Regions from separate parts of the Mus musculus genome. Here regions 1, 2, 4, 5, 6 and 7 are each reported to be linked to region 3. The links are microRNA targets in miRTarBase. Many come from high-throughput screens and were not tested one by one. Region 3 holds a microRNA gene; each other region holds the end of a gene's coding sequence.
Evidence for each region. Region 3 holds the annotated microRNA mmu-miR-3065-5p (UCAACAAAAUCACUGAUGCUGG, at 2,388-2,409, opposite strand). A microRNA usually pairs through its seed, bases 2 to 8, with sites in the 3' UTR of a target mRNA and lowers its output. Matches are read on the target gene's strand: a 7mer-m8 pairs with bases 2 to 8, a 7mer-A1 pairs with bases 2 to 7 and ends in A, and an 8mer does both.

Region 1: the mRNA of Cd33 is a reported target of mmu-miR-3065-5p. Seed matches in the 3' UTR shown: 7mer-A1 at 1,181-1,187 and 7mer-m8 at 1,825-1,831.
Region 2: the mRNA of Kdm5d is a reported target of mmu-miR-3065-5p. Seed matches in the 3' UTR shown: 7mer-m8 at 2,706-2,712.
Region 4: the mRNA of Cdc37l1 is a reported target of mmu-miR-3065-5p. Seed matches in the 3' UTR shown: 7mer-m8 at 738-744 and 7mer-A1 at 1,926-1,932.
Region 5: the mRNA of Fam163a is a reported target of mmu-miR-3065-5p. Seed matches in the 3' UTR shown: 7mer-m8 at 1,653-1,659, 7mer-m8 at 1,695-1,701 and 7mer-m8 at 2,148-2,154.
Region 6: miRTarBase lists Atp2b2 as a target of mmu-miR-3065-5p. Seed matches in the 3' UTR shown: 7mer-m8 at 1,309-1,315.
Region 7: miRTarBase lists Fzd6 as a target of mmu-miR-3065-5p. Seed matches in the 3' UTR shown: 7mer-m8 at 498-504 and 7mer-m8 at 513-519.

The regions. Positions count from the first base shown.
Region 1 is chr7:43,525,541-43,529,540 of GRCm38, reverse strand. It overlaps Cd33 (CD33 antigen), which reads left to right. Exons shown (of 6, transcript NM_021293.3): 6 at 533-2,085. The coding sequence ends at 679. Among named protein-coding and RNA genes, the nearest start is that of Cd33, 5.6 kb to the left of the region's middle.
Region 2 is chrY:942,395-946,487 of GRCm38, reverse strand. Kdm5d (lysine (K)-specific demethylase 5D) reads right to left here. Exons shown (of 26, transcript NM_011419.3): 25 at 3,847-4,046; 26 at 2,677-3,664. The coding sequence ends at 3,323. Among named protein-coding and RNA genes, the nearest start is that of Kdm5d, 47 kb to the right of the region's middle.
Region 3 is chr11:120,013,189-120,017,188 of GRCm38, reverse strand. It overlaps Mir3065 (microRNA 3065), which reads right to left and starts at 2,422; the gene lies at 2,336-2,422. It overlaps Aatk (apoptosis-associated tyrosine kinase), which reads left to right. Exons shown (of 14, transcript NM_001198785.1): 4 at 382-461; 5 at 758-876; 6 at 996-1,083; 7 at 1,597-1,730; 8 at 3,455-3,539; 9 at 3,620-3,741. It overlaps Mir338 (microRNA 338), which reads left to right and starts at 2,327; the gene lies at 2,327-2,424.
Region 4 is chr19:29,015,532-29,019,624 of GRCm38, forward strand. It overlaps Cdc37l1 (cell division cycle 37-like 1), which reads left to right. Exons shown (of 7, transcript NM_025950.4): 7 at 475-4,093. The coding sequence ends at 573. It also overlaps a transcript of Ak3 not described here. Among named protein-coding and RNA genes, the nearest start is that of Cdc37l1, 27 kb to the left of the region's middle.
Region 5 is chr1:156,075,105-156,079,197 of GRCm38, reverse strand. Fam163a (family with sequence similarity 163, member A) reads left to right here. Exons shown (of 5, transcript NM_177838.3): 5 at 1-3,242. The coding sequence ends at 301. Among named protein-coding and RNA genes, the nearest start is that of Tor1aip1, 41 kb to the right of the region's middle.
Region 6 is chr6:113,744,921-113,749,013 of GRCm38, forward strand. Atp2b2 (ATPase, Ca++ transporting, plasma membrane 2) reads right to left here. Exons shown (of 20, transcript NM_001036684.3): 20 at 1-3,928. The coding sequence ends at 3,617. Among named protein-coding and RNA genes, the nearest start is that of Sec13, 6.3 kb to the left of the region's middle.
Region 7 is chr15:39,036,293-39,040,385 of GRCm38, forward strand. Fzd6 (frizzled class receptor 6) reads left to right here. Exons shown (of 7, transcript NM_001162494.1): 7 at 94-1,900. The coding sequence ends at 262. Among named protein-coding and RNA genes, the nearest start is that of Gm7194, 3.9 kb to the right of the region's middle.

The sequences.
Region 1 (4,000 bases), not on the chromosome of region 3:
ACATCCTATAATCACTGCCTATCTCCAACTGCATCTGATGCTGTGACTCCAGGATGTTCCATACACAGGTCTGTGACAGGCACCTCATGCCTGTGTTAACAGTACTGCCATGGCACCTCCACCACATGGAGACCCACAGTAGAAAGTGGGCCTTGGGGAAACTGCTGTTCTTTAGTCTCTCGCTGGTTCACCTACATGGCAGCTATGCTAGCAGTCACGTTTTGTTTTCCCAATCTGCCTTCATCTCTTTACCATCTGAGCCAGAGCCTCATTGCTACGGCGCTGCCTTCCTGTGGACCCAGTGCTCAGTGTGCATGGTGTGACTCAGGCACATCTGGGGTGGAGTAGAGAGCACGAGATGGGTGACCTTAGGAGGGACCTCACCCTTACCAGTGAATGACCAGTGATACTTCAGGACCATTTGTGGATCAAGGGCCTTATTATAACGACTGCTCTGCACAGACCCTCTCTATCTCCCTGAACCTACTCCTTGTGCCCTGCCGTGGGACCCTTTTCTGTCCTCTCCACACAGGCTCATCAGCAGGACTCCAAGGTGCACAGCAATCCTGAGAATCCAAGACCCTTACAGAAGGACTCACCTCAGGAACAGAGCAGTGTCCACACTAAGATTTCCTTGGATTTCATGGGAGGGAAGCCTCAGGAGTACTCAGAGATCTAAATGCACCAAGCTTTGCTCTCCTGTGAAGAACCTGTGTCCTCTATGGCTTCCTGTGGATAATTCCTGCATCCCTCTGATCCCAGAGTGGGTTATGCTGCTGTGTGTGAGTCTTACACTCAGTTGACATCATCTGACTTTGCAATAAGAGACCCGGGACAGAGTCTGTGCTCCTTCATTTATATCCCCACAAGTTGTTCCCTCTATTTTTGGTTTTTGTACTCAGTATAATGATCCCCTACCTTCTCCTCCTGCCTCACCTCTTTCTCCTTCTCTCTTTCCACATCTCTTATATGGATGAATATACACATGTGTGTGCCAAGGCCCTTGCCCATGAGTAAGTACATGTATGAAGGCTAGAGGTCAAAGTTCAGTGCCTTCCTCTTTTTTCTCATCATTATCACTCTTCATCATCACTATCGTCATCATTATTATTATTCTGACACAGGGTATGGTGGTTTGAATAAAAATGGCCCCCATAGGGCACAATTAGGAGGTGTGGCCTTGTTGAATAGGTGTGGCCTAGTTGGAGAAAGTGTGCCACTGGGGCTGGGCTTTGGGGTTTTAAATGCTCAAGCCAGGCCCAGTGTCACTTTATTTCCTGATGTCTGCCAATCCAGAAATTGAACTCTCAGCTACCTATCTATCTAGCACCATGTCTATCTGCATGTTGCTGTGCTTCCCGCTATGAAGATAAAGGACTAAACCTCTGAACCTGTAAGCCATCTCCAATTAAACGTTTTCCTTTATAAGAGTTGCTGTTGTCACAGTATATCTACACAGCAATTGAACCCTAACTAAAGCACAAGCTCTCCCTGAGCCTGGAGCTTGCTGTTTAGGCAAGACTGGCTGGACAGTGAGTTTCTGGGGTCACCCTTTTCTGACCTCCAATATTTTGATGAGAGTTATAGACTGTCATATGTAGCTTTATGTGAGTGCTTTATTGCTAGGGCTCCTTTCTCTCTTGCTCAGGAACCTCACCTTTCACTGGCCAGGAAAGAGGGAGACTTGGAGTAATAACACTTTTATTGAATCAGGAGAAGAGAGTCACACTAACAATAGGAAAATCTTTTACCCAAGCAAATATGCACAAACACACATACATTTATACACACGTTCATACCTGCACATTCATTATCTCATACTTATTTGTTGGGTCTAGCAATCTGTCTCTGTCTCATCAACTTACATACTTACACACGCAAATAGTTACACACACACACACACACACACACACACAGAGAGAGAGAGAGAGAGAGAGAGAGAGAGAGAGAGAGAGAGAGAGAGAAACGGGGGTGGGGGGGCAAAGGCCTCCATGAGCAGGAGCAGGTTTTATTGAGCTAGTGCAAAAAGAACTCACTCATTCTGGATGAAAAATAAGCTCCAACCTTTATTGCTCAGAGAAAGGGAAAAAACACTTCTACTCTTTTATTGCTAAATAAGTTAAATTAAATGTCTCATTGTAAGAACCGCCTGCCTGCTGATTTCTGCTCTCCCTGCAGCTCCTTCTCTTCTTAGTCTCAGCTTTTTCCTCCTCAGCCCCTGTTGTATTCTGCTGCTCCCATATCGCTTCCACTCTGCTTCTCTTCTATTTTCTCCCTACGTCTACTTAATTCTGCTCTCTGTTTTGTCTCTTCTTGTCTGCTCAGCTCCTCATCCCTGTAAAGTTTCTAGTTTGCTTCTACTCTCTTTCTCTCCATTCTTCTTCTGCCCTCTACCATCTGCCTTGGTTTCTAATTCTCTTTTTGTATTCTGTGTTCTGTGTACTTAGCGTCATCATTCCTAGTTTTGAATATTTCCCAGGATACATGATTTCATGGCATTCCAGTAATCAAGAGTTCACCACAAATTTAAAAATTAATTTAAGTCATAAATTGAAGAAGAAGTTTACAACAGAGATGTGTACATGTGTCCCATTAAGACTAGTTATCTAGTTAGACACTCATTATCTGTCACTTGTTCTACAGGTTCATAGAGAGTCTAAAACTATATAATTCTTATGTCTAAGTTAACACTGAAGTTTTATATAGATAAACCCAGTCAATATTTTATCTTCTGTCCTTGCACCTACAATAAATCATTTGTTATTTTACAACCTTTAGTTCATTATTATTATTATTATTATTTTGCCTAAGGGAATGTATTCCTAAATAGTAAATCTGTATGCCTGTTTTCCATCTTGTGCAATTAGCTCATGATATGAGAAGAGAGTCCCAGAATTTCAGAGTCCCAGTTGCAGCTATCATATTACAGAGGACTCTAATTGCAGTCCTTATTGTAAGGGCTTAATAATTACTAGTATAATCTTTGGAATTCTTATAGAATCATTGATAGAAGGGAAAAAATCATCTATCTTTCTGTATAGCAACACTACAAGACAAGTACTATTTGATAATCTACAGAAAACCTGCCCAATAGGTAGGCTAGTGTGCAGAGATTGTTAGATTAACTTAATAATGACAGGAAAGGTGTATTGATAGCAGGAATCGAATCCTGAGACTTGTCCCTCTGGCCTTGCCTCCAAGGGCTCATCATCTCAGCTCCACAGTAAACCATTTCTAGAAGATCACCTGCTAGCCTTTAACCTCTCCTAGATGGCTCCTGACAAATGTCTCACTCTGAAGCCCAGACCAATGTAGAACTCATGGCAATCCTCCTGCCTCAGTCACCCACATGCTACTATTACAAGTTTGAGTCACCATGCCCACTCCCCTGCCTGGCTTTCTTCATTGTGCTGTTATTCATTTATTTTTCATTCATATTTCTCAAGGCTTATTTTCTTTTCTTTGTGTGTACGAGTGCCTGCATCTATGCCTACACACCATGTGCATGCAGTGCCCACAGAAGTCAGAAGAGGGTGTCAGACTCCCTGGGACTGGATTTAAGGACAGTTGTGACCTACCATGTGGGTACCGGAAATCAAACCCGAGTCCTCTAGGAGAGCAGCCAGTAAATTTAGCTACTAAGCTATTTCTCCAGCCTCTCCATTCATGCTTTTCTTAGCTGTTTTCTCTAATCTTAAGTGCCATTAGATTTGGTTTAAAAAGAAAATACAATCTGTGGAATACTGGTTATTCAGGAATAGAAAGAATAGAAGGGTTTTAAATTGAGATTTTACATTCTTGTCTTACATCATACAGCTAAAATGCGTCCTAACTCTACAATCATTTAAAACTTACTTTTTTTTTTAAACATTAAAATTAAATGAAAGAGTTTTCTTCTTAACATCCCACATGGCTCACTGGTTAAGAGCATGTAATGTTTTTGTAGAATATCCAAGTTGGTTTCTGTTACCCGCATGAATTGGCCTAAAATACCATGCAA
Region 2 (4,093 bases), not on the chromosome of region 3:
CTCACAGTCAGCTATTGTATGGATCACAGGGCCCCCAATGGAGGAGCTCGAGAAAGTATCAAAGGAGCTAAAGAGATCTGCAACCCTGTAGGTGCAACAACATTATGAACTTACCAGTACTGTCTTAGTCAGGATTTCTAAACCTGCACAAACATCATGACCAAGAAGCAATTTGGGGAGCAAAGGGTTTATTCGGCTTACACTTCCATGCTGCTGTTCATCACCAAAGGAAGTTAGGACTGGAACTCAAACAGGTCAGGGAGCAGGAGCTGATGCAGAGGCCATGGAGGGATGTTCTTTATTGGCTTGCCTCACCTGGGTTGATCAGCCTGCTTTTTATAGAACTCAAGACTACCAGCCCAGAGATGGATGGTCCCACCCACAAGGGGCCTTTCCCCCTTGGTCACTAATTGAGAAAATGCCTTACAGTTGCCTTATCTCATGGAGGCATTTCCTCAACTGAAGCTCCTTTCTCTGTGATAACTCCAGCTGTGTCAAGTTGACACAAAATTAGCCAGTACAATTGACCCCTTGTCAACTTGACACACAAAAACATCATTAGTTAGCCTCAACCCTTACAACTTATTCATCTCCAAGATCTAAATAACTTTAAAAGTCCCACAGTCTTTACATAATCTTAAAATTTCAATCTCTTTAATATATCCATCTCTTTTAAAATCCAAAGTCTTTTTACAATTAAAAGTCTCTTAATTGTGGGCTCCACTAAAACAGTTTCTTCCTTCAAGAGGGAATATATCAGGGCACAGTCACAATCAAAAGTAAAAGTCAATCTCTAACCGTCCAATGTCTGGGATCCAACTCACAATCTTCTGGGATCCTCCAAGGGCTTGGGGTCAGTTCTCCAGCCATACCCTTTGTAGCACACATGTCATCCTCTAGGCTCCAGATGCCTGTACTCCACTGCTGCTGCTACTCTTGGTGGTCATCTCATGGTACTGGCATCTCCAAAACACTGCATGACCCCTTCAGTCCTGGGTCTTCAATTGCAAATGAGGCTGCACCTTCACCAATGGCCTTCCATGGCCTATTACAGTGCCGAGCCTCAGCTGCTTTGCATGACCCCTTCATGCCTTCAAAACCAGTACCACCTGGGTGACCCTTACATATTACTAAGTCCCGCTGCAGCAGGAGTACAACCTTGACTATCTCCAGAACACAGCCTCTTTGTGCTTTCAGAAAACACTTCCCAGAAGATGTCACCTCAATGATGCTTGTCTCTTCTTTATCACTGCTAATTTCTTAGCTCTAGCTAACCAGCATCAATAGTCCCAGTAATGCAAAGTTTTTGCTTTGGTAGTTCTGGTCTCTTGTTAATCACAGCTGATTCTTCAGCCCCAGCTAATCAGAACTACAGAATCTTCACAATCAAAACAGCAATGGCCCTGAAAAGTCTTTAATTTTCCCTCTGAAATTTCACAAACCAGACCTCCATCTTCTGCAGTGTTCTCAACATTATCTTCCAAGCTCCTACACAACATCCGACAGAGCTCTTAATAACGGATGGATCTTTTAGCCCAAAGTTACAAAGTCTTTTCACAGTCCTCCCCAAAACATGGTCAGGTTGTCACAGGAATAACCCACTCTGCTGGTATCAATTTGTCTTAGTCAGGGTTTCTATTCCTGCACAAACATCATGATCAAGAAGCAAGTTGGGGAGGAAAGGGTTTATTCAGCTTACACTTCCATGCCTCTGTTCATCACCAAAGGAAGTCAGGACTGGAACTCAAACAGGTCAGGGAGCAGGAGCTGATCCAGAGGTCATGGAGGAATGTTCTTTATTGGCTTGCCTCACCTGGCTTGCTCAGCCTGCTCTCTTATAGAACCCAAGACTACCAACCCAGAGATGGTCCCACCCACAAGGGGCCTTTCCCCCTTGGTCATTAATTGAGAAAATGCTTTATAGTTGGATCTCATGGAGGCATTTCCTCAATTGAAGCTCCTTTCTCTGTGATAACTCCAGCTGTGTCAAGTTGACACAAAACTAGCCAGTACAAGTACCTCAGAGCTCTTGACTCTAGCTGCATATGTATCAAAAGATGGCCTAGTCGGCCATCACTGGAAAGAGAGGCCCATTGGACACAAAAACTTTATATGCCCCAGTACATGGGAATGCCAGGGCCAAAAAGTGGTAATGGTTGGATAGGGGAGTGGGAGGGAGGGTATGGGGGACTTTCGGGATTGCATTGGAAATGTAATTGAGGAAAATACATAATAAAAAATATTAAAAAAAAAGAAAAAGGAAGTCATTATAAGTTCAATAAAACAACGTTCTAAAAGAGAAGAAAGGATTCATCTTATTTGACACTTAGTAGGAAAGTATAGCTATGAAGACATTACCTAGACAACATGTATCAAGAAGCATAGAGTTGGGCAGTGGTGGCAGACACCTTTAATCTCAGCACTTGGGAGGCAGACGCAGGCAGATTTCTGAGTTTGAGGCCAGCCTGGTCTACAAAGTGAGTTCCAGGACAGGTAGGGCTACACAGAGAAATCCTGTCTTGAAAAAACAAAAACCAAAACAAAACAAAGAAACAAATAGAACCAAGAACACAGATACAGACAAGTATTTTAAGTTCAGAAACAAATGCTGTTGAGTCCCACAGCAACGATTTCCATCCTTGATTTTTCTATTCCCATAGATGTATAAGTCAGATGCAGTTCTAACCATACTGTTTTATTTTTAACAACAAAATCAAAAGGAACAAAATTAAAAATAAACAATTATGGTAAGTTTGCATTACTGTATATATTCCTTTTTCTTAAGAATTAAAAATACAACGTTCTTTTAGAATGTAAACCAAAGAGAAAAATAGAATGAAAATTATAAACTAAAAGACACTTGTTTTAATAAGTACTTGTTTTGATGTGTGATTGATGAAGGATTTAAAAATAAAGATTAATAAATGTTATCATTCTCAAATTTTATTTTTGTCTCTCCAGATTAGAATAGAGATAACTAAGAACATCACTTTATCTATGCTAGTCCCAGGAATATTGATGGTAAAATTTTGGGAAACGCATACAGGGAATACTTCTTAGGAATTATGGCATAAAAATGTATTAGGAGTAAGGATAAAATAATTTGTGGTCAAGCTCTAGATAAGAAACAAATACTTTGGGGGTATCTGAGGGATTAAGGGCAGAGGAAGCTGTAGGAATAGAGTAAAATGGAGGAAAGGAAGGGACCAACAGAAAGAAATGAAAAAGAAGAAGGAAAGAAAGAACAAGGGAGGGAGAATGGAAAAGACTAAGGTAGGAAAAAAGAACAATCACATACTATTGTTATAATCACATACTATTGTTATAATTTTTGCTGATGAAAATAAGATAGGTGTAGTAAAGGTGTTAAGGAAGGAAAAGAAGATGAAGGGCTTGGATCCTTTCCTTGTACACTGTTTATGTGCTCTTTTAAGATGTTTGTATGTTCTGTATGGTGTGTGTACAGCACATTATCCCCAAGTATTGGCTTTTGAAACTTTTCTTCCTTAGGCTTAATCCTTGAACTCTTGACTCTTTTTGATTCTAGCTCTTTTTGAGTAAAATCCTCACCCTTTCTACTCAGAACCACCTTTTGCCTCCTCTGCCGTCGCCTCTCTGGTGTCTGTTCCTCTGACCAATTTCCTGGGTTTTCAGGCTTCTCAAGCTACAATACACAGACAAAATAAATAAATAAATAAATAAATAAACAAATAAATAAGTAAGTAAGTAAGTAAGTAAGTAAGTAAGTAAGTAAGTAAGTAAGTAAGTAAGTAAGTAAGTAAGTAAGTAAGGTGTATGTGGTCCACATTTGTAGTGAAACCAAGGACTATCCATGACACATCTCACCTCCAGAAGTGTATGAATGCGCTCTAGATTGGGATTCTGCCCAGCCTGCAGCAGCTGCCAAATGCTGTAGTTCTCATCTAGGGTAACTTCAAGTAGATCTCCTTCCATCATAAGCTCCTCTAGGGGTGCCCGGGTGGCTTCAGGCAGTTCCAGTACTGGGCCAGTTAATTGGGATAAAAGTGAAGGCAGCAGTTCCTTATCTGGAGGGTTTGGGGAAAGTTCTTTTAGAATATGACCTTGCTCTAAT
Region 3 (4,000 bases):
GGGTTTGAATGCCAGCCTGTGGCAGGGGTAGGGGGTTGGTTGCTCTGCTGTCCTCCCAGGCCTCGGCACCAGCTTCCTGCCTCATCCAAACGCCTTTCCAGGCCCTGCTGTTTGGGCTTGGCTTCTCCCTGTGGCTCTGCTCTGGGCATCCCCAGGCTTTGCCTGGATGGAGACTTGAGGTCCATAGCTCTGCTGACAGCAGCCACCCCAGAGCCTAAGAGACACTGGCCCTCGATGACAGCGCTCAAACCTGGCCTCCACTTTATTGAAGCTTCTTTGGCTGGGGAGCTTGGGAAAGCTCTCTGGGCTCTGGAGAGCGTGGTCGGGAAGATGGAGAGGGAGCGGTGGCTAAGCTGTGTCTGGATTTCTGTTCCACTCTAGTGCAACTTCTCAAGTCCACGGACCTGGGCCGGCACAGCCTCCTGTACTTAAAGGAGATTGGCCACGGCTGGTTTGGGAAGGTAAGCATGCCCCGGGGTGGCAGGAATGGCAAAGGGTGGACCCACTACTCCTGGGGATCCCCTAGGGAGGGGCTCTTTCTAACACCCGCCCCAGACTGGACCATGTACCTGATTCCTTTTTCCTCATTGTAGTCCCCAGGCAGTGAGAAAAGTAGGAGCCTTGTGGGTGGACTGGGGCTGAGGGTTCTAGCCAGAGCTTGGTGAGAAGTTGTATGACCATCTGAGGCCCTGGGCGCTAGATGGCTTTTCCTATGGAGACTGAAAGGGGACCTGGTGATGCCTGTCACATTTGGCAGGTGTTTTTGGGGGAGGTACACTCGGGCGTCAGTGGCACGCAGGTGGTGGTGAAGGAGCTGAAGGTGAGCGCCAGCGTGCAGGAGCAGATGCAGTTCCTGGAGGAGGCGCAGCCCTACAGGTGGGTGGTGTGGCGGGGGCGGGGTGGGGCCGGGCAGGGGAGCAGCACAGTGGGAGAAACTGAGGGCTATGGGACACCCTCTCCTGCCCTCCAACTTAAACACCCGTGGACTCTTCCAGGGCCCTGCAGCACAGCAACCTGCTCCAGTGCCTGGCCCAGTGTGCTGAAGTGACCCCCTACCTGCTGGTTATGGAGTTCTGTCCACTGGTAAGTGGTCCTCTCGGGGAGGTAGCTCTGTCTCTCCCGGTCCTGTTCTGTAGCTCATTGTTCCAAAGGGGAGTGGCTCCTCTCTTGCTCAGCCTCTTGGGGTCTTTTGTTATTTCTAAAGTAGAGTCCTGGTAGTCCTTGCTCTCCCTCAGAGGAGGTCTGCGGAGAGAAAGTGAGCCAGCAGCAGCAGGGGCAACACTGTGGGGTCTTGGATAGTTCAGCGAGAGGTGTCCTGGGACAGCCACAGGGCTCCCGAAGCTCCTGGGGCAGAGCCTGAGTTCTGGGTCTTCGTGTTGCCCCTTGGGCCCTTTACATGCACAGCTCTGGTGGCTGCTTATATGGAGGTCACTGTGCCAGAATTGAGACACAGGCTTTGCTGAAACAGCAGTGAACACTAGGGTTCACAGCTGATCCACAGGCCACCAGACCCAGGTTCTCTTGGTGTGGGTGGCAGACTTGTGATGGGCTGGTCGCTGCAGCTAGCAGGTGACTGTGTGCTCTCTCGTCCATCAGGGGGACCTCAAAGGTTATCTACGGAGCTGCCGGGTGACAGAGTCCATGGCGCCTGACCCACTTACCTTGCAGCGCATGGCGTGCGAGGTGGCGTGTGGCGTCTTGCATCTACATCGACACAACTATGTACACAGGTGAGGGCTAGCGAGACTAGCCAGGCTACAGCTACAAAGCCCCACTCCCCCAGGGCCTTAACCCTCACCATCACACGACCCTGTGCAGAAAAGTCACGGTGATCCCACGTTGTGGGCCTCATGAACTGGGTTCATCTAAAAATAGCCACTCTGCAGGGAACTTTATCATTCTTAGAACTGGGAAAACTAACTGGGCATGGTGGCTCACGCCTTTAATTGCAGCGCTTGGGAGGCAGAGGTAGGAGAATCTCTGTGAGTTCAAGTCCTGCTAGGTCTACCTAATGAACTCCAGAATAGCCAGGACTATGTAGCAGGACCATCTCAAAATGAAATAAATTGTGAAGACTTGGCATTTGAAACTCACCTTGCAGACAGTTAAATGAAGAAACCCATCCTGTCTACTAGAGCAGTCAGCCATACTTGGGCTCCATACCAACCCCAGCCTCTTTCCCTCAGGCCACAAAGGGAGTGGCTGGGCTGGCCCTGTAGTGGGAGGGGTGGCTCTCTCCTGCCTCTGGTGGCCAGGATGCCCAGCCTCCCATGAGCTGGGGGCACATGCTGGAAGAAGTGGCAACGGACAAGCGGCCCACCAGCTCCAACGCTGCACAGGCCGTCCTCCCCAACAATATCCTGGTGCTGAGTGGGTGCACAGTGACTCCAGCATCAGTGATTTTGTTGAAGAGGGCAGCTGCCAGCCTCCTGCCCTGCCTGCTGCCTAGCCCAGCTGCCCCACCCATAGGCATGGACCCAGGTCACCCCACCCTGTCCCCTGACACAGTCCTCCTGGGGTAGAGGCAGGCCAAGGTGGCCCCATCTACATCCAGAGATCTCTCAGCAGAACAGCCAGTATGGCAGATGAGGGTGCGTCCCGTGGCACTCTATTGTCCTGTACCCCAAACACCTGGGGGTGGGGCGCTATAGCCAAGCAAGAGTTATACAGAGCCTGGCATTCCAGGCTTCCCACTGAGTTGGTGATTTTTATCCTCCACACAAAGGGGCCTTTGTGGTCCATACTGTTCTAGACCTCGGCTCCAGCTTGTGTAGCAGGCCAGGCAGGGCTGCACTCTAGAACATGGGCTCTGACTGCTGGCAGGACCCTCTGAGACACTCCGGGCTTCGGTTTCTCCATCAGTTCTTACCTCCTGGGGACTGGGATGGTGGAGTGTAGTCGGAAGGGTGAGGGTCCTGAGAGGACACTGCAGACTCTCTGCTCCATGGCTTGTTGGCCCTTGTTGGGCAGATCAGACAGAGGGTGGAGCGGGTTAGGGCTCTGGTGCAGTTAGACAGCACTTTGCTGGGGGGGGGGGGTCGTCCTTGAGCATCTTTTGCCTGATTTTCACATGCATTGAAGTGCATTGAAAACCGGGCTTGGTGGCGCAAGCCTTTAATCCCAGCACTTGGGAGGCAGAGTCAGGAGGATTTCTGAGTTCGAGGCCAGCCTGGTCTACAAAATGAGTTCCAGGACAGCCAGGGCTACACAGAGAAACCCTGTCTGGAAAAAAAAGAAAAAAAAGAAGAAGAAGAAGTATTAGAAATGCATTGAAGTCCACACAGGTCTTCCAAAATAGCCAGTACAGGGTGTGGAGCCAGAACTTGGGCACAAGTGGGTGGCCCCTCAGACACCCCTTCCTGTCGGTCTGCCTGGCTGTGCCCGGGAGCCCAACCATTCCACCAGGGCTCACTCAGGCTGGCACACTCTGCTGACATTGCCTTCCACTCCGCAGTGACCTGGCCCTGAGGAACTGCCTGCTTACGGCTGACCTGACAGTGAAGGTTGGTGATTATGGCCTGTCGCATTGCAAATACAGGGTGAGTAAGGCCGTCAGGGCCCGTGTGCAGGGGCAGCTGCTGAGCGGAGCTCACTCCCATCCTGTCCCTGCGTGCTACAGGAAGACTATCTCGTGACCGCTGACCAGCTGTGGGTGCCGCTGCGCTGGATCGCGCCAGAGCTGGTGGACGAGGTTCACGGCAACCTGCTGGTGGTGGACCAGACCAAGAGCAGCAACGTGTGGTGAGCGCAGGCAGGGCTGCCGGGAGGGCCTTGGGATGCCGCCTCCCCAGATGGCGCTGGCGTCAGCTATTCTAGTGGGGATGCTGCCTTTCAGTTCTGCCCCCTGCTCCAGCATTTTGACTTCCTTCTCTGGCTAGGATTAGGGCTGCCACACAGGGAAAGTGTACTCATGCCTGCCACCTTGTGGCCATGAGAGGCACTTTACAGGCTACTTCGTTGATGATGGGTTCCTGAGGTTCCTATACTGGTGTGTGTGTGT
Region 4 (4,093 bases), not on the chromosome of region 3:
GTGTGTCATGTGCATACAGTGCCCACGGAGGCCACATGCAGCTCTCAGATCCCCTGGGACTTGACTTTCAGATGGTTGTGAGCTGCTATGTCTATGCTGGGAACTAAACATGGTCTTCCGTACTGCTGTGTCATCTCTCCAGCCTCCTAAAGGCATGCTTATTAAATGTAATGCTTATGAGGAAGTTTAACCTTGTATGGTTAAAGAATTAAAATTATAGTTTTGTTAAAAGAGATAAGAGGGGTATCTGTAACATTTCTGTTCCTGTATATGCACTCGGTCTGGATAAAGAATAACATTCTATCTTTAGTTCTTCAGGTTTCGGTCTGTGTGGACTCCACAATTCCACTTTCTTTCCTAGTATGCTCTGCTGCAGAGGAATAGAAGGTGAAGCCGTGTGCACAGTTGCATGTGTGGTGTGAAGCTGCTTTTCAAGTGTTGTTCCCCGTCTGTCTTTCTTTCTCTCTCCCCCAGAATCCAGATTCTCTTCAGTGTTGTACCCCTGCCCCTCTGTGCAGTGTAGACTCAGTGGTACACAAAGAAGATGATGACCGAATGATGGACACTGTGTGACTCAGCTAGACTGCTGAGCCCAAGGACTAGTTTGTTACGAGAAAGGAAGAGCCTGGCTATTTTCTTGACACTTTTATGGGTGCTGCACTTTATTTTTGTTTGGTTTTATGGGAGGGAAAGAGTACTGAAATGTTTTGCAACTTTTTTTATGTGCTGCTAGGGTTTTTGTTGTTGTTGTTTTGTTTCTGAAGGGAGGAGTGGTAACCATATGTGGCAGGAAGTCAAACTGGACAGACTCTCCCCCACCCCTCAGTTACTAAATTTGCCTTTAACTATTCTTATTTTTGGAATCAAAGTATGAAAATCTGCACAACACAATGTTTACAAGACTGGTTGACTGAGGAGATGTCTGCTACACGGTCTTTTTCTTACATGGATATACATGTCCTACTTCGAGGAAGGAATTCAAGATAAAAGTATGCTGTGTCCCACTGCAAAGTTCAGCTGTCAAATCTGGTATTCATCACATTAAAAGCAATAAATCCGCAGTGGTGACCTACTTTACTAATTAGTAAGCTGGGTGGCACAAATTGCTATTTTAAGACATTTACGTTTGTATTTTCGGCACCACCAGTTAACTCCTTGGCTAGTATAAATTTGATATTAAAAACATTACATTTATCCCTAAAGTAGTCTCAAAACTGTTCAGAAGTTGACTTTGTCCTGATGACTGTTTAAATATTAAGCAGGCAGTGAGTGTAGAAAATGATAGTTTTCTGTTTTTCCAAGAAGATAAAATGCAAGCTTACTCTAATCTACTTGACATAGTCCGGGACCTCTCAGGGAGTAAGTTTTAAAAGAATAGTAACGGCCTGTAAGAACAAACAGGAAGAGTAAGGTCCTTGTTAAATCACAGCCACTGTGTTCCATGTGGTGAAGCCTTGAGAAGTGGGAGCTGAGCTGCCAGCCATGCCTAAGGATTGCTAACAGCCCCTTCAAAGGCGGTGACGGGTCTCACTATCTGCTACTCGCTTCTAGCTCAGTTACTAGAGGATGCCTCTGAGTTTTACTGCTTCCTGTGTAATTCATTGCAGATCCACCAGGATGTTTGATGATTCTTTTATTTAGAATTAGATGACAGTGCCAATTATGATATCCTTATTATTTGAGGATTAATCTTCCAGCATACAGGAGCGCTAGCTTTGGTTATTTTTGAGTGTGATTTTTGGCTCAGTACCCACTTCAATTTGTAGCAAATATTTGGAAAGTGGGTACCCAGGGTTTGGAAATGCAGGTCTCAGTTTGAGTTAAGAAATCATGCTAAGGGGCCATGGGGGCTCAGAGCTGTGGCCTCCGCCTCAGCTGTCCTTTTCAGCCGATGGGGCACCTAACCCTGTGGAAATGGACTGGAATTGTTGAATCATACTTCTGTAATGTCACACTCTTCCTAGTTCCCAGAATAAAAGTCTTTTTGTGCTTTTGATATAAATATATATATACTCTATAATAAAATGTCTGACTAATTTATATGGCAGTGCTCACTGGCTTATAAGTTTCTTTTAAATCAGTGACCTAGTCATTGAAGTTATTTGTTTTATTTTTTTCTCTCTTCCTTTTTCTTCTTGTCTGGAGCATGCTCTGAGTTTCCCTCTGATACCAAGTGGACAGAATAGAACACAGTAGATCCCTGATTTCACAGAAGTAGCTCTTGACTGACCACCTTCCACTTCACTTCTGCCCATGACTTGTCTATGGTCACCCAAGTGGCCGTAGCTTTCATTTTGTCTTCTATAATTTAAAGCTCTTGATGGCCAAAACAACAACAACAACAACAACAAAAGTATTAGCAAAGTGAGTATATAATTTTAAAGTTTATTTTGGTTTTGTTATCTAAAACAAGAATTAAGAAAACTTTTTTAATACTCGGCTGGAACTTTTTTGCCAAAGGAATCACTAACGGATGTCATAATTTGCACTTAAGGATGGGAACTTGACCATTAGCAGGACTTCAGTATTAAGGTGATCTATTAGGCTGTGTGTGGTCGTGCATGGCTTTAATCCCAGCGCTTGGGAGGCAGAGGCTGGTTTATCTTTCCGAGTTCAAGGACAGCCAGAGCTACATAGAGAGACTGTCTCAAGACAAAATGACAGTCTTTTGGAGTCCTTCGATTTCCTTGATTTGAAAATGTCCTCTTAGTATTGAGCTAGCTATCTCCAGAAAGAATACTCCTCTCTTTTCTTAAGTAATAAAGAATAATACTACTTATCAAATAGATAACTCATATTTCAAGTGAAAAATTTTTCCCTAATCTATGAGAAATTCAAACTAATCACTTAATCAATGAAAAATAGTTGACATCAAAGTTATTTAACAAAGACTATTGTGTTTTTTCTTTTAATTTTTAATTTACTTTATTTATCTGAGTATACTGTAGTTGTCTTCAAACACACCAGAAGAGGGCATTGGATCTCATTACAGATGGTTGTGAGCCATCAGGTGGTTGCTGGGAATGGAACGCAGGACCTCTGGAAGAGCAGTCAGTCTCTTGACTGCTAAGCCATCTCTCCAGCTCCCAAAGACTGTTGTTTTATTTTAATGAAATAGCTGAGGGCTTAGAATGGTTCAGTTGGTAGAGCTCTCGCCTAAGATTCAATGAGCCCTTGATTGCATCCTCACCACCACATAAACTGGGCACGGTGGCACATACCTGCGGCCTTAGTGCTGGGGATGTGAAGACGGGAGGGTTAGAGGTGCATAGTTTCCCTCAGCTACATAGCAAATTTCACAGCCAGCCTTCTGCCTAGATGAAACTCTGTCTTAGAAGAAGAGAGACAGAAAGAAATAGCTGTACTCCATGTGTCCTAAGAGCTGTTGTTCCATCGAATGGTAGTGGAGAACATACTGATTAGAATTATTGCTCTGAGATTCGCTTTTAATTACACCATCTATGGTTCTTTCAAAATTTTTTGCCTAAGAAACTTATAATAGCCTTTAATTTCTCTTCAGAAACATTAGGCCTTTTTTAGACTAGCATGCATATTATTGTAAAAGCGAGTAAGAGCGCTTGAGATGGCTCACTTGGTAAAGGTGCTTGCTGCCAAGCCTGCCAATCTGTGGGACCTAAATGGTGGGAAGAGAAAGCCAGCTTCCTCACGCTTCATCCAACCTTCATACATGTGCAGAGCATACACACACACACACACGAGTTTTATCTTTACTTTTAAAAAATGTATTAAGTAAATTAACATGCTTCCCCCGAGAGCACACATCTCTGTTAATAAGTGGTCTCCTTATAGTGGAAATGCCAGCGAGGTGTTCTCAGAAGAGTCAAGTGAGTTACTGCTCTCAGAGGGAGACACATTTCAGTTCTTAAGTTGGTGAGGAGCAGAAGTGGTACTTGTCTGGACTGGGGTGGGTTTTTACTTCCCTTTTTCCAGCATAGCATCCACATTTTAGCAAGAAGATCCTTACATCCTACAGCATCCTGATTCCCCTCTATAATGGGTGTTACTGTACGATTTCATAGCTTGTCCAGAAAAAATGGTCTGTCTGGTATTAGTTGGCTTACAGTGTCATTTA
Region 5 (4,093 bases), not on the chromosome of region 3:
CCACGTCCTGGACGGCAGAGGCGGCCTGGCACCTCTCACCAGCGAGTCCTGCAGCCAGCCGTGTGGGGTGGCCAGCCACTGTACCACTTGCTCCCCTTACCGCACCCCCTTTTACATACGGACAGCTGACATGGTGCCCAACGGGGGTGGAGGCGAGAGGCTCTCCTTCGCCCCTACACACTACAAAGAGGGGGGAACCCCATCCCTCAAGTTGGCAGCACCACAGAATTACCCGGTGACCTGGCCAAGTTCTGGGCATGAGGCCTTCACTAATCCAAGGGCTATTAGTACCGATGTATAATCCTTTCACCCCAATCTGCACACACCCAACACTGCGGTCCCAGCAGGAGCAATGGAGTGTTGGAGGGGACTCTCCAATCGCCCTCTCCCCCAGAAACCATTTCAGTTTCTCTGGCTTCCAGATCAGAGGTACAGTAAGATGTGTACAAGTAAATGCTTGAGGACCAGGGCAGGACCTGTCGCCAGCCCTGTGGCCCAGAGGTAGGGACCTGATAGGTCTGCAATGTCACCAGTTTCTCTCTGGGGATTTTCTCTCTGACAATCAAGCGCTATATGACACCTTCCAATAAGCCCCAAGCCCTTTGCTTTGATGGGTTGTGTAAAGACCAGGGAAAGCTAAGCAAAGGTTAGGGAGGCTTCCAGAGACCTTGGGAGATGAGGTGGGCAGACCTAAAAGAAACGGACACAAAGGGTGAGGCTTAGACATCCCAGAGCTTGAGAGGAGAGAGGAAAGGGCGTTAACGGGGCCCCTCGGGGTTTGCTTGCTAGAATGCACACATGAGCTAGTTTACACTCTGTTATTTACTTGGGTTGCCTGCTCTGATAGGAATATTGAGTTCTGGAAGCACCACATCTGCTAATCTAGTCCCTCCTCATGAAACACATCAAACTGATGCTAAGCGCCACAACACACGACTGCTTATGGGGACTGTAGCAAGAAGAGGCTATATAACCTTGTCTCCCCTTCAAGTCCTTTCTTATGCCCCCCTGCTAGAGAAACTTTTCCAGGTGTCAGTCATTATAGTTCTAGAAGCCCAGGGAACAGATAGATCACATTGATTCGCCCCATCCCTCCATGCCTTGCCACATAGACTCGGCCCTCTGAGGGTGTGCGGATGCCCATTCCTGGGGTGGGGGCTGGCTTCCTCTCATATCCATCACCACCAACAGCCATGTGGCTTTGCCTCCTTCGGGAGCTGCAGAGCAGAAAGGTCCAAGGGACCAACAAGTAAGAAAAATCTGACCCTTTAGCAACTGGACCCAGAGGCAATTCAAGTGGCCAGTCTCCATGGCAACCAGAAGGAGGGAACTGAGGCAATGGTGCCACAGTTAAGTTCCCACACACCTGCATAAGCTCCTCGAGAGGCTGGTGCATCCCATGAGTGTCCATCTATGATGTGACATTATTAACAGGACATTTTATCCCACGAGGGGCTGTGGCCTTCTCATCTGAGTTTTGGGGGGATCTCCTGAAGGTTGGCTGTGTCTTTGTAATTAGATATTATGCTTGCCTCTTGGTAATGAGCTAATTTGCTGTTTCAGATCCCAACACCTCCCACTTTCCATCTAGCAGTGGCCTTATGGGGTTTTGTTTTTTGTTTTGTTTTGCTTAGTTTAGTTTAGTTTTGGGTTTTGTTGTTGTTGTTTTTGGTTTTTTGTTTTTTGGTTTTTTTTTTGTTGTTTTTTTTTTTTTGTATTTTTAGTTCTCCAGTTACCTCCGTGATTCAAGGATCGCTGTCCCCACTTCTAAAAATTAATGCCTGCACATTCCAGAGTCTCGGAATGCTATGGAGGGTGGGCTGGTTTTTCTCCTGAAATCTTGTTGGCTGTTGGTTGGTTGGTCTGACAAAAAGCAGGGTGCATCTTACATGTCCAACTGTAAATAATGAACACAGGGTTAAGAAGCAGGAGACACTCTCTGCTCATGTTCTGTCCACTCCTTAGCTCCTGGGACCAGTCAGGTGTCTTCACTCAGACATCCATTTTTCTCCAGGAACGAAGAGCTTGTCCCTTAGTGTTCCACAAATCTGAGACGTCTTAGACCTGCTCCTCAGCCTCGTCTCTTGCCTTCATCCAGGCCAGGGCTGGGTGGACTCTCCTGCTGACTGATCCTGGGTACAGGGACATTTGTTGTGGGTTAGAAACCACAAAAGGGGTGCTGGGAGGAAGCACGGACAATTAGAAGACAAAATCATTTGAATTGCTGTCGGGGCTAAGGCAGTAGTTCAGTTGATAGAGCTCTTGCCAGGTCTGCACAAAACCTCAAGTCTCCAGCACTGCATAAAAGCCAACTTGGTGGGTACACCTCTATACTGGGGAGGTAGAGGGAGGAAGGTAGTTGTTCAAGGTCATCCCTGGCTACGTAGAAGTTCAAGGTCAACCTGGGGTTCCTGAGACACACACCCCTCTCAAAAACAACAAAAACATTTGTTCAACCCCCTACTGAGCAACCTCAAAAGGCAAGTACTGCCTCTGGGAGCCTCAGCAGGAGAGCTAACCTCCCCCTCTCCCCGGTGCAGAGGGATGGCTCTGCAGTTGTTGTGCACCCAGTCCCGCCCATCTGCTCATCCTGGGCCATGTGCAACCCTTTGATTTGCTGCTGGGCCTGGCAGCTTTCCCCACTTCCTCTCTACCAGCCCAGTGCCTTGCTCTCCTGTGGTCCCACAGCTTCACCCTAGATAACAATGCCATCGTACCCATGCCTTTGGGTAAACCAAGAGAACCCAGCCATCTGTAAGCCACTTTTCTACTATGGGCTCTGGGTATAAAGCACTCTTTGCCTTTGTGTCTCCAGCAGGGCCACAATTCAAAATCTGGATCCCAGGTGTCAGAGGGGACGGGGAATACACACTGCCCTTCAGCCCACATTGTTCAAGGCACAGGTTCCACCCTTGGCTACAGGTCACCTGACCCCCTCACTCTTCACTGTAGCATCATGAGCATCTTCCATCCTTGGGGAAGAGGAGGCTCACCCAACTCGGCTCTTCTGTCCCATTAGCTGCTGAGTCTGTACCATGAGATACAATTTGTCCACTCTTCAAACTGAACCCTAAACAGGCAGAGAAGGGAGGCCCGGGGAATAGCCAGCCCTCTCCACCATCCTTCTCCACATCACTCCGCTCCTCCTGCTGCAGATTTCTTGTCTTGTTGTATCTTTGATAACTTGGAACACAAACCAAGCGAATGTCAAAATAAAGGAGAAATTTTAAGTAGAAACCCCAGAGGGTCTTCCTTCCACTCTTTACCTGGGGGTGGGGCAACTGTGCATGGCTTTAAAATGAATATTCATCTGAACACTGGAAACATCCAAAGTCTTTGCCCTCCCTCTCCTTTTCTGCTCACACATTAACAGAGCTCTCACAAAGCCGGCCCAGCCAGGGGCCCTCTCTGCTGCGTCAGCCATCACAACCTGGGAGCATTTCCTGTGTCTTGAGAAAGGGGGCTTTAAGTGTGCCAGAGATAAGTTCTGGGTTGCAGAGGAAGATACCCCAATTCCATCTCAAGTGACCGGGCAAGGCAAACCTTACTACAGATCAAAACTCCACTACTCCGAAGAGTGAACACACCCAGTCAGGAAGTACCTTTGGTTTTTGTTCTCACTCAAGGGGTGACTCTTTTCCCATTACCTGAGATCCTCGCGGGCCTATTCCGTTGGCTTGTCTGAAAAGAATTAGTGTACAGGAACTGTAGGAGCAAGCGGGAAGGGCTCATTGCTCCAAGAGAGAAAAGGCCCCCTCATAGCTCAGGGCCTTTGCATTCCCAGAAAACAGCAGGGTCTTTGCGTAAACAAATATTTAACGGGGTGGAAAAGCTATTAAAATGCTTGCATAAAAGTCTTACTTAGTGGGAGAGATTAAAAGATGTGACTTTTTTGTCCAAAATACAAACTTCACAGTATTTATTTGGTAGTTCTTAACAGGTGTCCTGCCCAAGATGGTGAACTCACTGCGGGGCAGTTCAGACTCCTGACTTTCCAGGCCTGTAGTTTCTCCTCCTCTCTACTTTTTGAGTCAATTCATTGTTTCATAGACGAGTTAACAGCGTTACACAATCAGCCTTGTGTCTGATGGGA
Region 6 (4,093 bases), not on the chromosome of region 3:
GCCCAGAGTCTGGAGTAAGAGAAGGTTGGAGGATCTGGCAAAACTTAGTATTTCTTCAGAAGAACAGATGGGGGTGGGGTGGGGAAATCTTGTGAACAGGGAGGGGGACTTACTCCCCTGCCGTACACTAACATGTTTGAGAGGGACAGTAATTAGAACATGTGGTTGGTGCCAGATAAGGGAGTGAAAGAGAAATTCTAGAGTTGGACTGAAGTCTGTGTAAAAAATTAGGAGAAGGCAAAGGTGGCTTTTCAACAGGCATGGGGACACAGTGGTTCTTTATTAACCAGAGGACCCAGGATAGGATGGGCTCTGGCTTGGGAGCAGCCAGTGCCACATCCACTCTCAGAAATAGGGCACCTCCCTCCAGTCAGCTCTGCTGTGGTTGGGTTGAGGATAGGAGAGCATGGGTGGGTGGAGACATGGAGGCTGCTCCTCAATCCTGGATAGCTGGGAGCAGCAAGTTGAGCCTCTCCCTATCCCTCCACAGATGGGTGACTCTGAAGTAGCCAGAGCCAAAGTTCAGGTCCCCTGCTGGATGCTCACCTGTGTTTTCTCAGTTATCTGACAGGCTAGGGGATTGATGCACTTACAGAATGCAGAGGACAGGAAAGAAGGGGGTGGGGGCCACGCTAGAAAAGAGTAGAGATTTCCTATTTCTGCTTGATTTTTTTTTAAATACCATAGACACATCAGAAACACCTATGTGAGCCAGAAGAGCCAGCCATGGAAAACATAACCATTGCATAGTATTAAATGAGCAGAGACGGTGAATTCTTTATTTACAATTATTGTCTAGATAAAAAAATTCATAAAAACAGATGAATGGTCATAAATTATTGACCCCCTAATGGGGTGAACTGCCAAACGTATCCCATGCTGCTAGATATAGGACGCAGAAGTGCAAGCTTGTGTATTACAGTGAGTTCTGACAAACCAACCATCTCCTGTGTAGGTGTGTGTGTGTATGGAAGAGTGTGAGAGTGAGGGGCTGGGGCATAGGCTATCTCTCATTCCTGACACCGGGAAGCCAGCACTAATGTCAGGCCTCCTTGCTAGTTTCCTCTGCTCCTGTCTGAGAACCTGGCTCTGCTCAGAGAACCCCTTCCTCTTTGCCCTGGAGGCCTGGTTCCAAAGCCCGAGGACCCCGGTTTGTTAAGAGCAAGAACCCTGGTGGCATGGAATGAGGTCATAGATGCATGGTTGAATGAAGGAGGGCAGGATGAAAAATGTGACAAAGGACTCCCCACCAAAAGTCCCAAACCAATCAAACAACAACAGCAGCAGCAGCAACAACAACAACAACAACAACAAAACCAAACCAAAAACCTATCCTGTTCCAAGGCAGCCCCGGGTTTCCTTCCCTCCCTTGGAGGGGTACTATGGACTGGCTCTGGTGGTGTCTGTACTGGAATCCAGTGAGTACATCTAGGGCTGGTCCACCTGCTGGAGAGGTAGCTCTCTCTCTCTCCTGGATACAATCAGAATCCTTCAGAGATATTCTTCCTTATAGAAAGATTATGGCCAGGTGGGATGGGCAGACTTTGAAGCCCAAACCAAGAACTCAAGTTTTTCACAGCCATCCAGACGTGGGCCCTCCCAGCTGACTATGGCTCTTTTCCCAAGTGGCTGTCATCTTGTTTAGTGAAGAGGTCTCTGGGCCTGGAGGAGGGCTGGGGGGCCAGGCTGAAGAGCGAGGAGGAGCGATTGTGAGGAGGGAGAGAGTGAAGGATGGAGTTCACAAGTGAGGCGGAAAGTGTTTGATTTCCTCGAAGCACGGGACATCATCGGTCATGGTATTCAAAATGTCTTTTGCACTGTACAAGTTTATGGAAAAAGATTGTATGCTGAAAAGTCTCAAAGCAAACTTTGTATTAAATACAAAAGTTCTTTTATGAAAAAAAGCTGAGACCCACAAAGTGCTTAGCAGTAAGAGGCCGACAGACAAGCTCTTATTAAGTGGGATAACTAGTGCTGTTATTGTTGGGAGAGGGGATAGCCACCTTTTCTCACCTGTGATATGGGAAGATATCAGAATGGCTTTCTGTCTGGGAAAGCAGGACTTGCTGTTAAAAGGCTACAGTATATATTGTAACTACAGGAAGACAATTTGGTTTAAAAATCACACTGAATACATCTCAATGTACACATTATAAGGTTCATTCGGATCTAAATAGTGCAGAGAAAAAAGGCTATTCTTCTTCAAAAAGAAAAAAAAAAAAAACAAAAGCAGCAAGCCGTACCAACCCTCATCCAGTATGTCAGCAGTGTCTATGCTGCCGTTTATAAGAAAAGAAACTTCTAAATTACTAACTAAAAAAAAAAAAAAATTCAACACAATAGCATTTGTAATATCTGAACACTACCTTGACTCACAGACAGTGCCAAAGACAACTCAGTTCTGAAATGCTCTCTGTAAACTCAAGCGAGTTTCATTGAGAGAAAAGTCTTCCTTCTCCGGGTGCACTACAGACGTTGACGTCACCAGACCTGGACGGCCGTGTTGCAAACCCAGGAAGCCTTCTCTCCTCTTCTCCCTTGTCTACGGTGGAGTGAGCGAGCGCGTTGCTTAGCTCCTCAGGGTGGATCCTTGGGAGCCGTTGGCTTTCTGCCTGAGCTTCCCACAGTAGTGACATTATTGAACGGAAATAGCAGGCAAAAATCAGAGCATGGCTATCGTAAAACTTCAAGGATGCAATCCAGGGGATGTGTCTGTTGGGCCCGAGCTGTTTGTAAGCATCTTGGCCACCAGTGTCCTTAAACCACACAAATAGCCAAAGACATTATCTACAGGTTTGTAAACAAATTACATTCTTCTTTTAGGACATAAGTTAAAATAGAGCAATTTAAGCAGAAACAAGGCAACATGCCGGCAAAGGAACTTTATATATCCATGTATATATATGTATATATATATATATATAATATCTACTTATCTATACGCACGTATACAGTCTTCAAGAAGTATACGTTGATATAGATACAAAGAAACGGATATAACCTCGTGAGTGTCTGTGGAGTTCTTGGGTTTCATTGGTGCAAACCTACTCTGTGATTTCAAAAAGTTATTAAATTAATCTAGACATTTGAGACCATGCTGGGCAAGCATTTGAAACCTCATAGACCAGTGGACTGAACGAACAGTAGTCTCTGTTCCAGTTCCTGTTTGCAGTTCCCGCCTAAGGAAACAAACAAAAAACTCCCCTCCCTAGCCCTCCAAGAACCAAATGAGGGAGGGGATTAATAGTGTCCAGGTACATTCATGCTGGGGCCACGGTGGCCGGCGGGTGCATGGCTGGTCCGTGTCTGGGCTGGAGCCTGGAAAGGCTCTTTTTTTTTTTAATTAATTCGTTATTATTATTTTTTATGTTTTGGAGAAAAAAAAATCCACGCCACTCTCTGCTCCAGATGACCCCAGGGCAACCCCGCCCAAGGCCTAAGGAGTGAAAAAGAGTTCAAACAGCATGGCTGCCAGAGAAAGGTCTGGTTCCCTCTCTGCTGTGTGGGTTCCGCCCAGTGCTCCTTGCTGTGTCGGGGAGTTGGTGCCTGGAAGGGTGTGCGCCTGGAGGCGGGTGGCGGCGGGTCCATGAGCGTGGCCAGGCGACAGGGGCCTCAGCTAAAGCGACGTCTCCAGGCTGTGGATGGGGCTCCCTGGACTTGAAGAGGTAGCTGATTTGCTCGTGTCGGTCGTCAGGTTGATCCCGCTGTCGATGGCGCTATTGTTCTTGTTGAGCGAGGACGGCGGGCTCGAGTTCTGCTTGAGCGCGGCATCTTCTTCCAGGTCGGTGTCATCGATGAGGGGGATGTGGGGCTGGGAATCTTCGATCCGGAATTCAGGATGAGCCATGAAGTTATGGATGGAGGTTCGAGACTCGGGTTTTTCTAACCCTTCATAGAGAGAGCTACGGAACGCCTTCACGACGCGGATCTGCAAGGGAAACACTTTGGTCAGGAGTGGGCTGAGCCCTTCTGGGGACTTGGAGGAGGGTTGGGGGAGGGGAGGGCACGCAGGCGGCTGGGATCCACAGTCGTTGGTGTTATGAGCATCGATGGGGACGGAGGGCAGAGGGCTTGGGGGATGCATCCATGAGTT
Region 7 (4,093 bases), not on the chromosome of region 3:
CTAGAGCTCTTTGGGATGAATGCACAGGGTTAGGAGGATAACTAACATCCTGTCTGTGTTTCTGCTGTGCACATAAACACTCGTGTTTTCCAGGGTAAGTCCAAAGAGCAGCGTTCCTGAGACTGGCCTGATAGACTGCAGCACTTCACAGGCCGCCAGTTCTCCAGAACCAACCAGCCTCAAGGGCTCCACATCTCTGCCTGTTCACTCAGCTTCCAGAGCTAGGAAAGAGCAGGGTGCTGGCAGCCATTCCGACGCTTGAAGAAAACTGTCTCGTTCCCCCAGAAGCACATGTATGTTACACTGGAGATGACCAACTGATTTGTCTTATAAAGGCCACTGTTGAGCTGGGAGAGTAGCCCAGTGGTACAGCGCCCACCTGGAATACTTGAGGACCTGGGGTTGTCTCCCAGCACTGCAAAAGGAAAATTCACTGTTACAGTCTTCCTTGCACTTAAACCAGCTTTGTCTATTGTTTTTTTGGTTTGGCTTTTATTTTTGTTGCTGTTATTTTTGTTGTTGTTTGTTTGTTTTTTTGTTTGTTTGTTTGAGACAGGGTTTCTTTGCTAGCCCTGACTGTCCTGAAACTCCCTCTGTAGACCAGGCTGGCCTCAAACTTACAGAGATCTGCCTGCCTCAGCCTCCCGAGTGCTGGGAATAATGGTGTGGTCACCACTGCCCAGCCTTTTGTCTGTTTTTAAACTTGAAAGAAACAACAGCCCAGATTTCAAAAATAATATAATGCATTTATACCTAAAAAACCAACCAGGAGTGCCCAGTTAATAACACTTTTTAAATGTGGGGATGGGAAGGGCATTAGAGGAGTCTTCCTTCTATTGAAGATTCATTAAAGTATTTTAAGATATGCTCTTTCACTCTTTATATAAATCCAAGATTTTTCTTTGCTGAAGTATTTAAAACTTTTGTACCTTTATATGTAGATATGAATTTGAAAATATGCTTATGTGTATTTGAACTTTTGAAAATCCTAGAGAATTGAATCAAATATTTTTATGATGTTTTTCTACTATTTTAGCTACTTTGCGACTGTGATAGCTGTTACACTGGATTTTTAAAAAACTTGTACAGCAGCCTCTTTACAGTAAAAAGAGTGGGTGTCACACTGAAAGGTCTGTAAGAAGTGGTCACAGCCACCCCTACCTTCCCCAAAAGGAGGAACTTGGTGGCAGGTCCCTCCCTGATTGGACTGTCCCTTTCTTTCTGCATGTTATAAATCAGCAGGTAAGATGGTAGGTTTTTACAAGTTAGGCCGAGCTGTCGATTCCCCTTTTAAGTGTTGAATTAGGATTGAATTATGGCCATTTGTAGTTGCTCGTGCCTGTCTTTATTTTAGTATTTTATTTCCCGAGACAGGAACTCACTGTGTGGTGCTCCTTGGCTGTCTGGTGTTCAGTCTGTCCCAGGCAGGTCACAGAGATCTCCCCCTCTGCAGCCCACTCATCTCTCCCAAGCCACCACACTCAGCTTTTATCTGTTTTAAAAATTTAAACTTAAAAAAATGTTTTTGGAATAGTACAAACACATTGTGTTGTAAATTTCTTTGATGCTATGCAAAATTCCTATCTGCATCTAAGCCTGCAAAAGAAAATGTGCGAAGGGCAGAGTCAGAGTTGGGCAGGAAGAGTGTAGTGCAGCAGATGCAGCGTGAAGACACTGAAGGTGCTAAGACAGCGTCTCAGTGCTGGTCCTCCTTAAGGATTATCTCGCCAGCGAGGTTTTCTTAGATACTTTGATCCCATTGGAGCTCTGTTAAAGTTTAAAATGAAAATTATCATGTACTGTATGGGAAATGTAAATACTAACTTTTCCACATATGTAAACTTCAGACACAAATTTTTTTGTGTGTTCTTTTCATCAATAAAATTTTCTTTGTATAAAAGATTGTATTGTGTGCTAGGTATATAGTACTGACCCAGAAACAGTGTAGCCGTTTTAGATTGATAAAGGCAGAAGTCAGAAGCTTCCTTTCAGCGGAGGTAGGAGAAGACAGTGAAGAACTTGCATATTGTCAGTTTCTTCCCCAAGTGTAGTTTTATAGCCATATTGCCTACAGTGTGTTGGAGCCCATGGGAGGCCTGCTAGATTAGGCGAAGCAAGCCGGAGTCCTTGGATCTGCTCCCAACAGTGGATCAGATCATTTAACCAAACCTCCTCAGTGAAGCAGTCTTGCTTTCCACATACTAAACAGCTAATAAAGGGAGGACTTGTCAGGTAGGACTCGGGGTCAGAGGAATTCCTGTCACCAAGCCCAGGGTTTGCAGCTTGTCTTGTCTGCAGCCATTGCTACAGAGTGTTGCAGAGAAGTGGACAGTGTTATGGAAGGAGTCTCAGAGTGAAGCTAGGTAAGCAGGAGAAAGGGACCAGTGCCTTCCATAAATTTAGAATTGTGACCTCAACCACCTGAAAACCACCGTGCTTCATGCTGTCTGTGTGGGACAGAGAAAGCCCAGACTCTGGCCCGGGGTTAGGAGCCTCACAGTGGAAAGCAAATGAAAGTCTTTTAGAGAAAGAGGGTTATTGTTTATGCCCTCTGAATTTGTTTCAAGACAGGTTTGCTGGCCTAAGCCGGCCTACATTTTACTGTGTACTCTAGACCAACCTCTGGATTGATCACTGTCCTTCCTACACCTGAGTGCTGGGATTACGGGACCACACCACCATGCTTGGCCATCCACAAACCCTAGAGACTGGAGACAGTTCAGCAGTTAAGAGCACTTATTACAGGGACCTGAGTTCAATTCCGAGGATCCACAATCATCCCTGACTCCAGTCCCAGGGGGTCTGATGCCATATTCTGTCCTCTGTGGGCACCAGATACACTGGCAGTGCACAGACATACATACAAGCAAAACACTAATACACATAAAATACATACATGTATAATTTTAAAAAATAGTGTATCAGGCCAGGCATGGAGGAAGCACATGGTTTTAATCACAATAGTCAAAAGCAGAGGTGGGCAGATCTCTGAGTTTAAGTCCAGTCTAGTCTACATAGTGAGTTCCAGGACAGCCAAGGCTATGAACAGAGACCCTGTCTAAAAAACGGGGGGGGGGGGGGGGGGGGGGAAAGGGTCTATCATTGATGTCCAGGAGTCACTCCACAAACCACACAAACACTGATCTTAATCAGACAGGGAGAGTTTACTGAGCACGTGCCTGGGAACTGATCAGTCAGGGCTGCAGACCAGACTCAGGACTTTACTACAACCCTGAGGCCAGTATCCTGTGGAGCTTTTAAACCTGAAATCCACAAACGCCTGTGCCAAATTATTCCACCAATCAGGATTTAGGCATAGGGGACTTCCTTAGGAAAATGTCTTTGTTGTACTCTCAACCTGTTCCCATTGGTTGAGGTTCACCTGCGGTGGGGCCTTGCCTTGCCTAGCATTCACGTCTTAACTTGCAAATCAGAATGTCACTTACTTTCATATACATGTCGCTTTCATCCAAATATGGTGTCAATTCCCAGGGAGATTTTAGGAACTTAAAACTTTACCCGACCCCTATGGTACATGTGCCTATGTTGGGTTCCATCCCAGGGGCTGCTTATAAAGGCGACAACCATAAAAGCCCATACATAAGGGACAGGAGGCACTGCTGGGCAGTGGTTTCTGCTCCAAACCTATTGTGGCTAGCTATTCAAAGTCACTCTAACTGAGCTCTATCGTGACTGGATTCCAAGAACACCAAAGCATAGAACATAATGGAGTTGCAATCAACTTGGACATAAGAAAGCTTCCTTGTAACAGCATAAAATGGCAGACTAGAAAGGCAGCAGTTATCCAGGACTTAACATATTCTATAATAAATTAGTCATGATTGACCAAAATAAATCCATTTTAAAAATCATGATCTGTGACAGGCTTTTTCCCAAAATCTAGTATATGGGTATAAAGTGTTACTAAATGTGGTTTTCTATAAATACTAGAGAACATTAAACTAGCTACCATGACTAATGAGCCTCCAAGCCTTACAAGTATTACAAACATTCTCCTGACAGGCAGAGGTGCTCTTGAGATTATTCTGCCCTTTATCAGTCCAGTCATGGCTGCATCATCCTTCCCCTGGAG